Linked DNA regions of Ovis aries. The protein of the gene in region 1 purifies or fractionates together with the protein of each later gene. This does not show direct contact. Links are inferred from orthologs where the notes say so. Each region holds a gene or a part of one and is shown in the gene's direction. Other genes may lie near its edges. The genes, in order: JADE1, MEAF6 and ING4.

Region 1 (4,378 bases):
TGTCTATTGAGTCGGTGATGCCATCCAACCATCTCATCCTCTGTCGTCCCCTTGTCCTCCTGGCTTCAATCTTTGCCATCATCAGGGTCTTTCCCAGTGAGTCAGTTTTTCACATCAGGTGGCCAAAGTATTGGAGTTTCAGCTTCAACATCAGTCCTTCCAATGAATATTCAGGACTGATTTCCTCCTTTAGGATGGACTGATTGGATCTCCTTGCAGTTCATGGGACTCTCAAGAGTTCAAAAGCATTAATTCTTCAGCACACAGCTTTCTTTATAGTTCAACTCTCACATCCAGACATGACTACTGGAAAAAACGATAGCTTTGACTAGATGGACCTTTGCTGGCAAAGTAATGTCTCTGCTTTTTAATATGCTGTCTAGGTCATATGCTGTAAAAGGTCATAAATGGAAGTAAACTTTCCCAACCTATTCAGTCTAGAACTCTGCAGTCACTCCAGAAATTTTCCATGAATATGCAAGCAGTTGTGTGTATATATATATCTTCCCTCTTTTATATGTAAATGGGCTGATATTCCATTTTTCTCCCCTGCAGTTTGTGGGTGTTTCTTTCTTGGTATGTGTTTTGGTACTTCCAACATCTGAACATACAGATCTACTAAAAAGGAATTCTGAGTAGATGGAAACGGGTAGAAGCTCAGGGTTGGAGTCCATGATGTCTGGTTGCCTTATATTGTTTGGGGTGAATTCATGGAAAGAGAACAAAAATACATCCCAAATACAGATGGTTGGAATGTTTTATCATAACTGCTCTTCAGGTGCTGACTCTAATTGTCATCAATTACAGAGACCTAGGAGGGATTTAATAGATTATTTTAGGGCTCATGAACAGAGATTGGATTACTTATAAAGGCAAATGGGAGCTGCCTGTGATTCATTCAGAACCACTCACATTTATAAATTTCTTAAAATCTTGAAAAAATTTATTTACTTTTAAAGTCCGGTTTTAAAAATAACTTATAAAGAACTTAATGGTGAACTAGTGTGTTACAGCACTTGGGTTTTATTAGTAACATTCACAGGGATGAGTATTGCATTTATGATTATCTGGGCAGTTATTAAAATCTTTTCTTGGGGAGAGGTGGTAGGTTATTTGTTGCTAATATAAACTCTTTTTCAGCTGAATATTTTCAAGTGGATGTCCCTGCAGAGACTGTAGAAGCTTGGGCACCATGTCCTTTAAATAAATTTTGATACATGACATTATAACAGACACATTTTTATAAGTTCTTTTTTTCTGAGTTGAAATATTTAGACAAGATTAAAGCTTTTAACACTTACGATCTAAGCAGTTTGTCAGTTATATCAAATCTATGACTGTCTTTTTGACCAGATATAATTTTTGGTTAAAGTGAGAAATCTGGGTTTGAGTTACAGTCACACTAGTATTTTTAAACTCTGAGCATTTGAATTTAGATAGTGTTGTTAATTTGAAAACTTTATGTCTAAGACATTAATGTTTGCTATAAAAACTGAGATAAGAAACCAGCTGATCTTGTTCACATTCATTTATGGATGGATAAGAGATTACTTTGAAGTATAGGTCATTATTATATTTGGGTATTTTATTTGGGGTAATGTATACTCTTTGAATGGAGAAGGAAATGGCAACCCACTCCAGTATTCTTGCCTGGAGAATCCCATGGACGGAGGAGCCTGGTGGGCTACAGTCCGCAGTATCGCAAAGAGTCAGACACGGCCGAGCGACTTCATTTTCACTTTCACTTTCACACTCATTGAAGATAAGAAGAAAGAAGATCTATTAAGAAAATGTGAGTCTTTCTTTATGGGGGAAGTATTAATAGTCTATGACCAGTGACTAAGGGACCAAATCATGTTGCATAGTGTTTAAAAATAATATTTGAATGTCTGAACTTAGCAAATAGAGCCACCTCATTTCAAAATCTTTTGTCTTTATGTAAGACTTCTTGGTGTCTGAAAGTCAGTTCTTTAATGTATGTTTTTATATTATACATATGCTAAATACATTTAAAAATATAGTACATTTAAATATTAGATTATTAACTTTGACAGAGAATGGAAGGACACCTTATAAATTTGAAAATTAATAGAAGTTACTCCAACTAAAGGTCAAGTAGATATTAAAGTGAAGTGTCTCACATTCTCTAAAGCTGAGTTGAACATAGGATAGAGTTTACATTCAGGAACTCAGTCATTCATCCTGCATTGTGTGGGTGTGTGCAGTCACTCAGTCGTGTCCGACTCTTCTTGGCCCCATGGACTATAGCCCACCGGGGTCCTCTGTGGGATTTTCCCACACGAATACTGGAGTGGGTTACCATTTCCTACTCCAGGGGATCTTCCTGACGGGGGGATTGAGCTCAAGTCTCTTGACTCCTGCATTGACGGGTGGATTCTTTACCACTAGCGCCACCTGGGAAGCCCCCTTCATCCACTGCATTAGTTATGTATTAAGTGATACACAGAGAAGGAATATGTAGAGGTCTTTGAGTACTTTCTAGAACTTCTTGAGAGTGAAGAATGAAAACATACTGGACAAAATTGATACTTTGAAAAAAATAGCCTTTCTGCATATAAACCATAAGCAATGAAAATCACTAGGGTGCAATCCTTAGTATAGCTGTAGAGTTTATGGCCTGATAAATGGTCCCTGTTCCACCACAGAATGATTCTAATAACGGGACAGTTCCTCAAATCTGTCTTTTTCCCAGGTGTAGCACTGAATAAACATTCTGAAATTCTTAATCATCTTATTCTTTTGTAAAAGTTCTTCTTTCTGTCCTCCAGGGTCATTTCTCATTCTTTCTTGGCTAGAGTCACATACCAGTCATGCCTCCCTGGAACCACACCCAGGTCACTAAATTTGTTCCCTTGCAAATTCCTGAACCACTTGGGGATGGGTTCCTTCAGCTAAGGGCTGCTCTTAACTTAGTGCCTGCCGATTCTCCACCCTAATTTCAGTCCAAGGAAAACATAAATTTGAAGGTTTTGAGGCAGCTTGCTGTCTCATGTACATATCCCGTGAAAGTGTTAGTTGCTCAATCATGTCTGACTCTCTGCAGCCCTGTGGACTGTAGCCTAACAGGGTCATCTGTACCAGGCAAGAATGCTAGCGTTGGTTGCCATTTCCTTCTCTGGGAAATCTTCCTGACCCAGGGATTGAACCCAGGTCTTCATAACAGTTACCACACTGCAGCTAGTTATCTAGATATCTGCTTACTGTATCTCCCTTTGGGCCATTCCCTACCTTGTTCATCATATCTTTGGCATCTAACTTGATGCAGTTTTAATTGAATGAACATGTTAACTAATCCACTGCTTTTTAACACGTGTGGCAGGAGAGGCTGAAGGAGAGTGGTCTGCATGCAGGATGTCGCCTGTGCTTCCTGAGGAGATGGTGCCCTGCGCAGCTACCACGCGCACCTGGTTGTCTCGGCTCGTCCTCCCCGTTTCCAAAGGACTGTCACTTGACTGATCCAGCCAGGGTCTTTGGCCAATGACTTCCTCTTACTTGGCCTTTCTAGGCAGTGTTCATATTATAATCAGGTTTCCTAGGTAGTTTTTTTGCTTTTTGGGCAAAGTCCCAAATGCCTAATAATTAGTATTTTGTCTACTTAGCTGTTATGCTTCTCATGGCAAATGGACACTCCAGGCTCCCGTAAATTGTATCACATTGAAGCCAGTTTTGATGAAATCAGATAGAATGTTAGAAGAGCCCTGTTGAGGACTGGACCCAGAGTTCCGGGGGTGCCTGTTGTAGCTGCCCTTTGAAGTCGTTTTTTTTTTTTTTTTTTTGAAGTTTTGCTTAAGACCCATTTCTGTGAAGTCTTTATTTCACATTTAATCCAAGAGAATCTCTGTTCTCTAGAATTTAACTATAACCTTTTAGAGACACACTTGTATAAAATATTTGAGTGATGATGCAAGGCAGGAGTTGATTGCATGTTAAAGAAAATAGTACATTAAAAGGCTGAGTGAAAAAGTTCTAAAAGATGAAAAAGGTGAAATGAGTGGTACTGAATGTAAATGGTTTTAATTGGAGTGGTGGATGGTACTTGGTGGTTTTGAGCTGAGCCCTGGAGAAGAGATGGGATTGGGATGGATGGGTGAGGAGGAAAGGGCCAAGGAGCACTGGGCGCAGAGGCTGAGGCTGGAAAGAAGAGGTGTTTTATGATAGAGGCCAGGCAAGCTGATTAGGGGGTCTTGGTAGGAGAGATGTTTGGGTAGAGCAGGGAGGGGCCAGGTGGTGGGAAACCCTGGGTTTCTAGCTGGAGCCATTTGCAGTGTGAAACGGAGAGATTGGCAGAGGAAATGGCTTGGAGAGGTCACCTTACAGGATGGATTAATTTGCTGTAATAATTCCATAAAGAAGGCTG
Region 2 (4,447 bases), on another chromosome or scaffold:
TTCTTTACCAACCTATGCTCAAACTGCTTAACATGCAGGAGATATGGGTTCGATCCCTAGTCCACGGAGATTTCACATGCTGCAGGACAGCTAAGCCCGGGTTCTGCTGAGCCTGTGTCCTGGAGCCCGGGAGCCACGGCTGCTGAGCCCACGTGCGGTAACTACTGGAACTTGAACTCTCTAGAGCCTGTGCTCCGTAGCAAGTGGAGCCACCGCAAGGAGAAGCCTTAGCACCACCATTAGAGGGTAGTTTTGAATTATTGTTATAAAACCCTTCATCACATCCTCCCAGGGTGGAACACATAGTTTTTCGAGACAGAAGCCCAGTTTGTCTTCCTTTGCCTGGCAAAGTGATAGAGCCTTCCTTTTCTACTTCACTCAAAACTTTGTCTCCAAGATTTGATTTGGCATTAGTGTATGGAGAGGCCAAGCTTTCCATAACAACATTAGACTTACAGCAATTGTGTTAAGTATGCACTATTATTACCTCCATTATACAGATGAGGAAATTGAGACAAGTGAAATTTAGCTACCTGCTCAAGGTGGCCCAGCCTCATCAATGGTAGAGGTAGCGTTTTTTAAATTTTAGTTTTTTATTGAAGTATTGTTGATTCACAATGTTGTATTAATTTCAAGTGTACAGAAAAGCGATTCACATATATGGAATCTTTTCAGATTATTTTCCTTTATAAGTTATTACAATACAATGAGTATAGTTTCCTGTGCTATAGAGTAGGTCCTTGTTGGTTATTTATATTATATGTAGTAGTGCCTGCATATTAATCCTAGACTCCTAATTTATTCCTTGCCCTCTTTCCCCTTTGGTAATGGTAAATTTGTTTTCTGTGTCTGAAAACTCACAGAATCATCATCTCCCAGACCTCAGCTTTGTTCCTCCTCCTCCATTTCTGCCACCAGCCAGGTGTCTGTTCCAGCTCGTCTGTGCCCTTAACCACCGCACATACTTGTCTCTCTAAAGGGCAATAGGGAGCCACTGAAAGGTTTTTACCTAGAAGGTGACACATTTGTTTTCTAAAAACAAATCATCCTGGCACCACTTTGGATAATGGATTAAATCGAGCTAAGGATAGAAACAGGAGGCTGTTGGAATGTCTCCAAAAACGAGAGCCTGGATGAATGAGGGAGGTGGCAGACAAAAGGAAACAGATTTACGAGCTCTGCTCGAGTCAAGTCCAGAGGACTTGGTTTTGGATCGGATTAAGGGGGTGAAGAAGGGTGAGGCCGGTACAAAGGTTTCTGACTCGAGTAATTCCGCGGACACTAAAAGTCATTCACTGATGAGACTTCCGAGAAGTCTTATTTTGGACACGGTGAGTCTGCAGTGCAGAAATGCGGCCGGGACCTAGGGCAGAGGGCACCCTTGGGGTCCTGCGAGCCCACCGGCGGGAGCTCTGGGGGGCGCCCAGCGCGCCTCCGGAAGCCGCGCGCGCAGGCGCAGTGTGGCGGCGGGCGCCCCCTGGCGGGCGGTGGCGCGAAGGGACCGCCCCCAGCCTAGCGCTGCCGCCGCCGCCGCCCGCCTCAGCCCAACATGGCGATGCACAACAAGGCGGCGCCGCCACAAATCCCCGACACCCGGCGGGAGCTGGCGGAGCTCGTGAAGCGGAAGCAGGAGCTGGCGGTGAGGGCCGGCACCGGGGGTGCCCGGGTGAAACCCCCGCGCTTGCCCCCGTCTCCGGGCCCGGGCCCGGCCGCTCCGGGCCGTTCGTTACTCCCCGGGCGCAGCGCGGCGGCTGGGAGTCCGCCGGCCTGAGGACGGCTGCGCATTGCGCGGCCCGCCGGCGCCTCGGCTTCCCGGCCGGGCGGATCTGGCGCCGGGAGCCGGGGGCGGGGCGCGGAGCGGGGGAGGGGGAGGGAGGCTAGGCCGGCGGAGGCGTGGAGGGAGGTTGGCGCCCGCGGGTGGGGGCTTCCGTGTGGGAGCCTGCGGCGGCGAGGGTCCGCGAGCCCCGCGGGCTGGATGAGGGCGGGCGGCCCTGGGCTCTTGGAGCGATTGGGCGGCAAGCGTGCCGGCAGGGTGGAGGAGATCGGCTCCGGCTTGGCTGTGGGCTCTGGGGAGGTGGGGTAGGAGACGGATGTGGGAGGGGAGACCCACACATCCATTCTGACCTTTGGAGGATGGAGGGGCGTTAATGTCTTTGCGGGGAATAGGATTAGATCCGTTGGATGGGGCTTTTGATGGGCAGGCGTGGGATGTGTTCGGGGACTTCTTAGAAGATGACAGGTGAGGGGGAGCGGACTCAGCCTAGGGAATTAGAAATTGTGACACGCGCCTGGGGCCCCTTGCTCCCTGGTGGCTAAGCCGTCCCTCCCCTTGCGTTTTTGGCTGGAGCACCGGGAGGCGCATCTTACCTGAAGCTGCCCTTCCAGGTTTCCATAGCAACCGGCCGCCCGGTGCAGGCGGCCTTTCGGAGCTTGCAGGGAGGCGAGCGAGTTGGCGCTGGAAGGCTGCTCACCCTTCCCTCTCCGGTAGCGGTGTCTTTTATGCGTGGGAGTGGAGACTGCTCACCTTCTTCCTCCGCGGTTTCTTGACAGCTGGGTTTCCACGAAGCCTCTGAGTATATACAGACTTTTGCCTGGGTGTACATTTTTCTAGGGACAGAATCTATTTCATTTTATTCTTAAAGGCACCCAGCAAGACAGGTCTAGACTGTCTTGTCTGAAACAGCCTGCCCCTACCCATGTCATCCCTCTCTCCACAAGGCTGACTCGGTGTCGTTGAACTTGAATTTCTAAGCCTGATACCAGGATGTCAGTTTGGTCCGACTTAATGCTTGCATGTAAAAGGCATCAACTGTTTCCTTGTCTTTCACCTCAGGAAACACTGGCAAACTTGGAGAGACAGATCTATGCTTTTGAAGGAAGCTACCTGGAAGACACGCAGATGTACGGCAACATTATTCGTGGCTGGGATCGGTATCTGACCAACCAAAAGTGAGTGACAGAAGCCTGTAGTGTTGCTTTGTGCCCTACTAATGTTTGCATTTGGTGCTTCCCTGGCGGCTCAATGGTCAAGAACCCGCCTGCCAGTGCAGGAAGTGTGGGTTCCTTCCCTGGGTCAGGAGGATTCCCTGGAGAAGGAAGTGCCAACCCACTCTAGTATTCTTGTCTGGAAAATCCCACTGACAGAGGAGCCTGGTGTGCTGCAGTCCATGGGGTCTCAAAGCATCTGACACGACTTGCGACTAAACAGCAACAACTGTATTTGTGATCAGGACTATGTATGTCCTTGGCGGTAGCTTTGGAGGGAAGCAGTAGTAAGGTGGGGTGGACAGAGGTCTGCATTCGAGCTTGGTCTCTGGTTCAACCCCTGCCTCACTGAGTAACCCTGGACAAATCCTACACAGTAGGGGAAGTCTGGCCAATGGCACAGGGTTGTGTGAGGCTTAAATGGAATACAGCATATAATACTTTATATACCAGCATGCCTCTTGCTATTTTGTACATTTTAATCAGTCAAGAGTTCCACCCTCACAGGATTTGCCCTACCTATATGCCAACTGTGCCATGGTTTATTTAGTAATATTATTCTTAAAAATGTTCTAATTTTTTTTTGAAAATTTTCGAATCTAGAGAAAAATTGAAAGAATAGTTCATGATCTCTTGATCTCCTTCACCGATCACCAGTTAGCTTGCTGTCACGTTTGATTTCTCTCTCTTCCCTTTCTGTAATTTACAAGCACACACTCTATGCGGGCATGCCTGCTTAGTCACTCAGTGGTATCCAACTCTTTTTGACCCCACGGACTGTAGCCTGCCAGGCTCCTCTGTCCATGGGATTTTCCAGGCAAGAATACTAGAGTAGGTAGTCATTACCTTCTCCAGGGGATCTTCCTGACCCCGGGATCGAACCTTGGTCTCCTGCATTGCAGGCAGATGCTTTACTATCTGAGCCAACAGGGAAACCCATACATCCCCATATCTATACTTAAAATTAAAAAAAAAAATTTTTTTAAATAATTATAGATACATAGGCAAAAAACAATACAGAGAGGTTCCATATATCCTTCACTCAGTCTTCCGCAGTGGTTGGGTTTTATGTAACCATTTAGTACAATGGTAAAAGGAGGAACCTGACCTTGGTACAATGTGTAAGTTTAGTTCTATCATTTTATCAAGTGGGTAGCTTCCTGTAACCACCACCGCAGTCAAGATATAGAACTGTTCTGTCACCACAAAGATCTGCCTCCTGCCACCCCTCTGTAGTTGTATCTCTCCTTTCTTCCATATATGTGTATTATACTTTCTGCTAAACCATTCAAAAGTTAAAAGCAGATCTTGGACACTTCGTCCCTAATTGTGTTAGCAGATACCTCCTAAGAATAAGAGCATCTTTCTTAACGTAACCACAATTATGCCTAGAAAATTAGCACTACATTAATAGTATTATCTAATATACAGTCTTTATTCATATTTCCCCTAATGGCCCCCA
Region 3 (2,480 bases), on another chromosome or scaffold:
AGCTCTTCCTTCTCCTTCCTTCCTTCCCACCCAGGTGGACAAACACATTCGGCGACTGGACACAGACCTGGCCCGCTTTGAGGCTGATCTGAAGGAGAAGCAGATTGAGTCAAGTGACTATGACAGCTCTTCCAGCAAAGGCAAAAAGAGTGAGGAGGGGGGTGGGCCATGAGAGTTGGAGCGAAGATTCCAAGAGGGCAGCCAGCCCATCCCTCAGCTCCAAGGGAGGACCCCTACGTTGGAGGAGAGGAGGGGTCCTTAACCCATCTTTCTGTCCCTCTGCCTTCTGGCTGCCCCTCCCCTCTTCCCTGGAAGGTCGGACTCAAAAGGAGAAGAAAGCTGCCCGTGCTCGTTCCAAAGGGAAAAACTCCGACGAAGAAGCCCCCAAGGCCGCCCAGAAGAAGTTAAAACTTGTGCGCACGTGAGTGAGTCAGGGAGCACCCTGCCAAGTGACAGGCTCCTCTTTGCCCCCGCCCCGCCCCTCGCCCCCTTCTCTATCACTCTGGTATCTGCTGGATACAGAGGGGAAGCCACAGACCACTAGCCTCACAGGGATCTCCTCGTGCCACTCTGAGCGTCAAGCTGTAGCGTCCCTTCCTGCAGGTGATACTCTCTCTCCCTCTTGGCACGCAGAAGCCCTGAGTATGGGATGCCCTCAGTGACCTTTGGCAGTGTCCACCCCTCTGATGTGTTGGATATGCCTGTGGATCCCAACGAACCCACCTATTGCCTTTGTCACCAGGTCTCCTACGGGGAGATGATTGGCTGTGACAACCCTGACGTAAGAACCGGTTTGCCTCAGGGCGGGGGGCTCTGGGGGACAGGAAGGGAGTTGGGTACCAGAAGAGGGTAAGGGCTGAAGAGTGGGACCTCAGGACAGGAGGAAGGGAGTTGGAGGTGGTTGGCCTTGGACCCTTCAAGAATCCTCCCGCCGGATGGAGTAAGGGAATGCTCCTGAGGACTCCGGGTGGGGGGGTTCTCTGCTTTCCTCGGCCCCAGCCTGCCCCCTGCCCTCTGCTCCTCCACCGTCTTCCTTTTCCAGTGCTCCATTGAGTGGTTCCACTTTGCCTGCGTGGGGCTGACCACCAAGCCTCGGGGGAAATGGTGAGTGGGCGCTGTGGTCGGAGCTGGACTGCCCTGAGCTGAGTGACGGGGGGCGTCCTCCGCTTCGCTCACCTCCTCCCCCACCTTCCTTTGCAGGTTTTGCCCACGCTGCTCCCAAGAACGAAAAAAGAAATAGACAAGGGCCTTGGATTCCAACACAGTTTCTTCCACATCCCCTGACCTGGCTAGTGGGGAGTGGGATGCCTGGCTGGGCCGGGGGTCAGGGAGAGGTGGGTGGCACATGTTGTCATCTCCTCTCCTCCCCTCCCCACTTCCGGTGCTGAGGCTGCACCCAGACCCTGGTCCAGGGGTTCTGCGGCCGCTAACGGTATGTGCTCTCATTCAGCCCGCCCCCTTCAGAGGGAAGTGGTCTTGCCCACTGTCCTTTTGCCTCCACGCCGAGGTTGGTGCTGTGTTTTTGAGGGATGGTCCTCTTTTCTCCCGTTGCTTTGTATTTAAGGACTGGGGCAGTAGCATGGGGCCCTCCTCCAGCTTCCTGATTCCCTCCCCTCGTTTTGGGGGGGGCCATGCGTGATAAACTTCCTTCACTCTCTCCATGCTTTTTCCAGCGGGGGGCTCCTCCGGGTCCTCTGGGCCACGGCCCTGGCTGAAGGGGCACCCCTTCCTCTGTGCCGAGAGGATTTGTCCAGCCTTGTGAGTGGGAGGGGCAGGGCAGAGTGTCAGTATCTCACTTGTAAAGGAATCGAGTTGGTGAATAAAAGCTGTACGTGTTGGCCTGCTGTGTTTATTGTAGAGACACTGTTTTAGCACATGTGCTGAGCATAGTTTGCATCCTCTGAGTTGGCTAAGAGGCAGGAGGATGTCATGCTGAAAGTAGGACCAGACATGGAACCTGAAGTGGTACCGCTGCCCCAGGACCCACCACCTCTCAGCATGGGAAGGACAGAGCTGGCTGGAACTGGGCCTCAGACAGGGGGTTTCCAAAACCTTCAAGATGTGCATCTTTTCCCTATATCTTTCATTTAATTTCCAATAAATGTGTACTTGTGTTTTATACATGAACTGTTATACTAAGTATTAGCCTGACTTATTTGAAACACAAAGCAAAAACTTACCACCAATGAATTGTCTATGCCCACCTGGAACCACTTCCATAGATTAAGCCCTCCTTATGCAGGGTCTCCTCACCAGAACCCCCATCTTACTCCCTGCTCTGGCTCACTTACCTGGAGCTGTCCTCTGTAGTTCCTACCCTCCAGGCCCCAACTTTGTGTTGCATGTTCCATCTCTGCCCCAGTCCTCACATGGGATTTGTTCAGTCAGTCACTCGTGTCCGATTCTTTGCCACCCCATGGACTGCAGCACACCAGGCTTCCGTGTCCTTCACCATCTCCCAGAGCTTCCTCAAACTCGTG

Evidence for each region.
Region 2: the proteins of JADE1 (region 1) and MEAF6 purify together in Homo sapiens (affinity purification with mass spectrometry; 5 studies listed by BioGRID and IntAct, counting the BioPlex papers as one, with this or other methods). This does not show direct contact. The link is inferred for Ovis aries from reciprocal best matches to the Homo sapiens genes JADE1 and MEAF6.
Region 3: the proteins of JADE1 (region 1) and ING4 purify together in Homo sapiens (affinity purification with mass spectrometry; 4 studies listed by BioGRID and IntAct, with this or other methods). This does not show direct contact. The link is inferred for Ovis aries from reciprocal best matches to the Homo sapiens genes JADE1 and ING4.

What each region holds. Positions count from the first base shown.
Region 1 is NC_056070.1:29,236,561-29,240,938, reverse strand, and holds the start of JADE1 (protein Jade-1), read left to right. Parts: upstream 1-1,486; 5' UTR 1,487-1,662; coding exon 1,663-1,792; intron 1,793-4,378.
Region 2 is NC_056054.1:12,341,716-12,346,162, reverse strand, and holds the start of MEAF6 (chromatin modification-related protein MEAF6), read left to right. Parts: upstream 1-1,541; 5' UTR 1,542-1,549; coding exon 1,550-1,639; intron 1,640-2,833; coding exon 2,834-2,949; intron 2,950-4,447.
Region 3 is NC_056056.1:209,616,327-209,618,806, forward strand, and holds the end of ING4 (inhibitor of growth protein 4), read left to right. Parts: intron 1-34; coding exon 35-149; intron 150-315; coding exon 316-421; intron 422-633; coding exon 634-781; intron 782-1,042; coding exon 1,043-1,104; intron 1,105-1,200; coding exon 1,201-1,240; 3' UTR 1,241-1,838; downstream 1,839-2,480.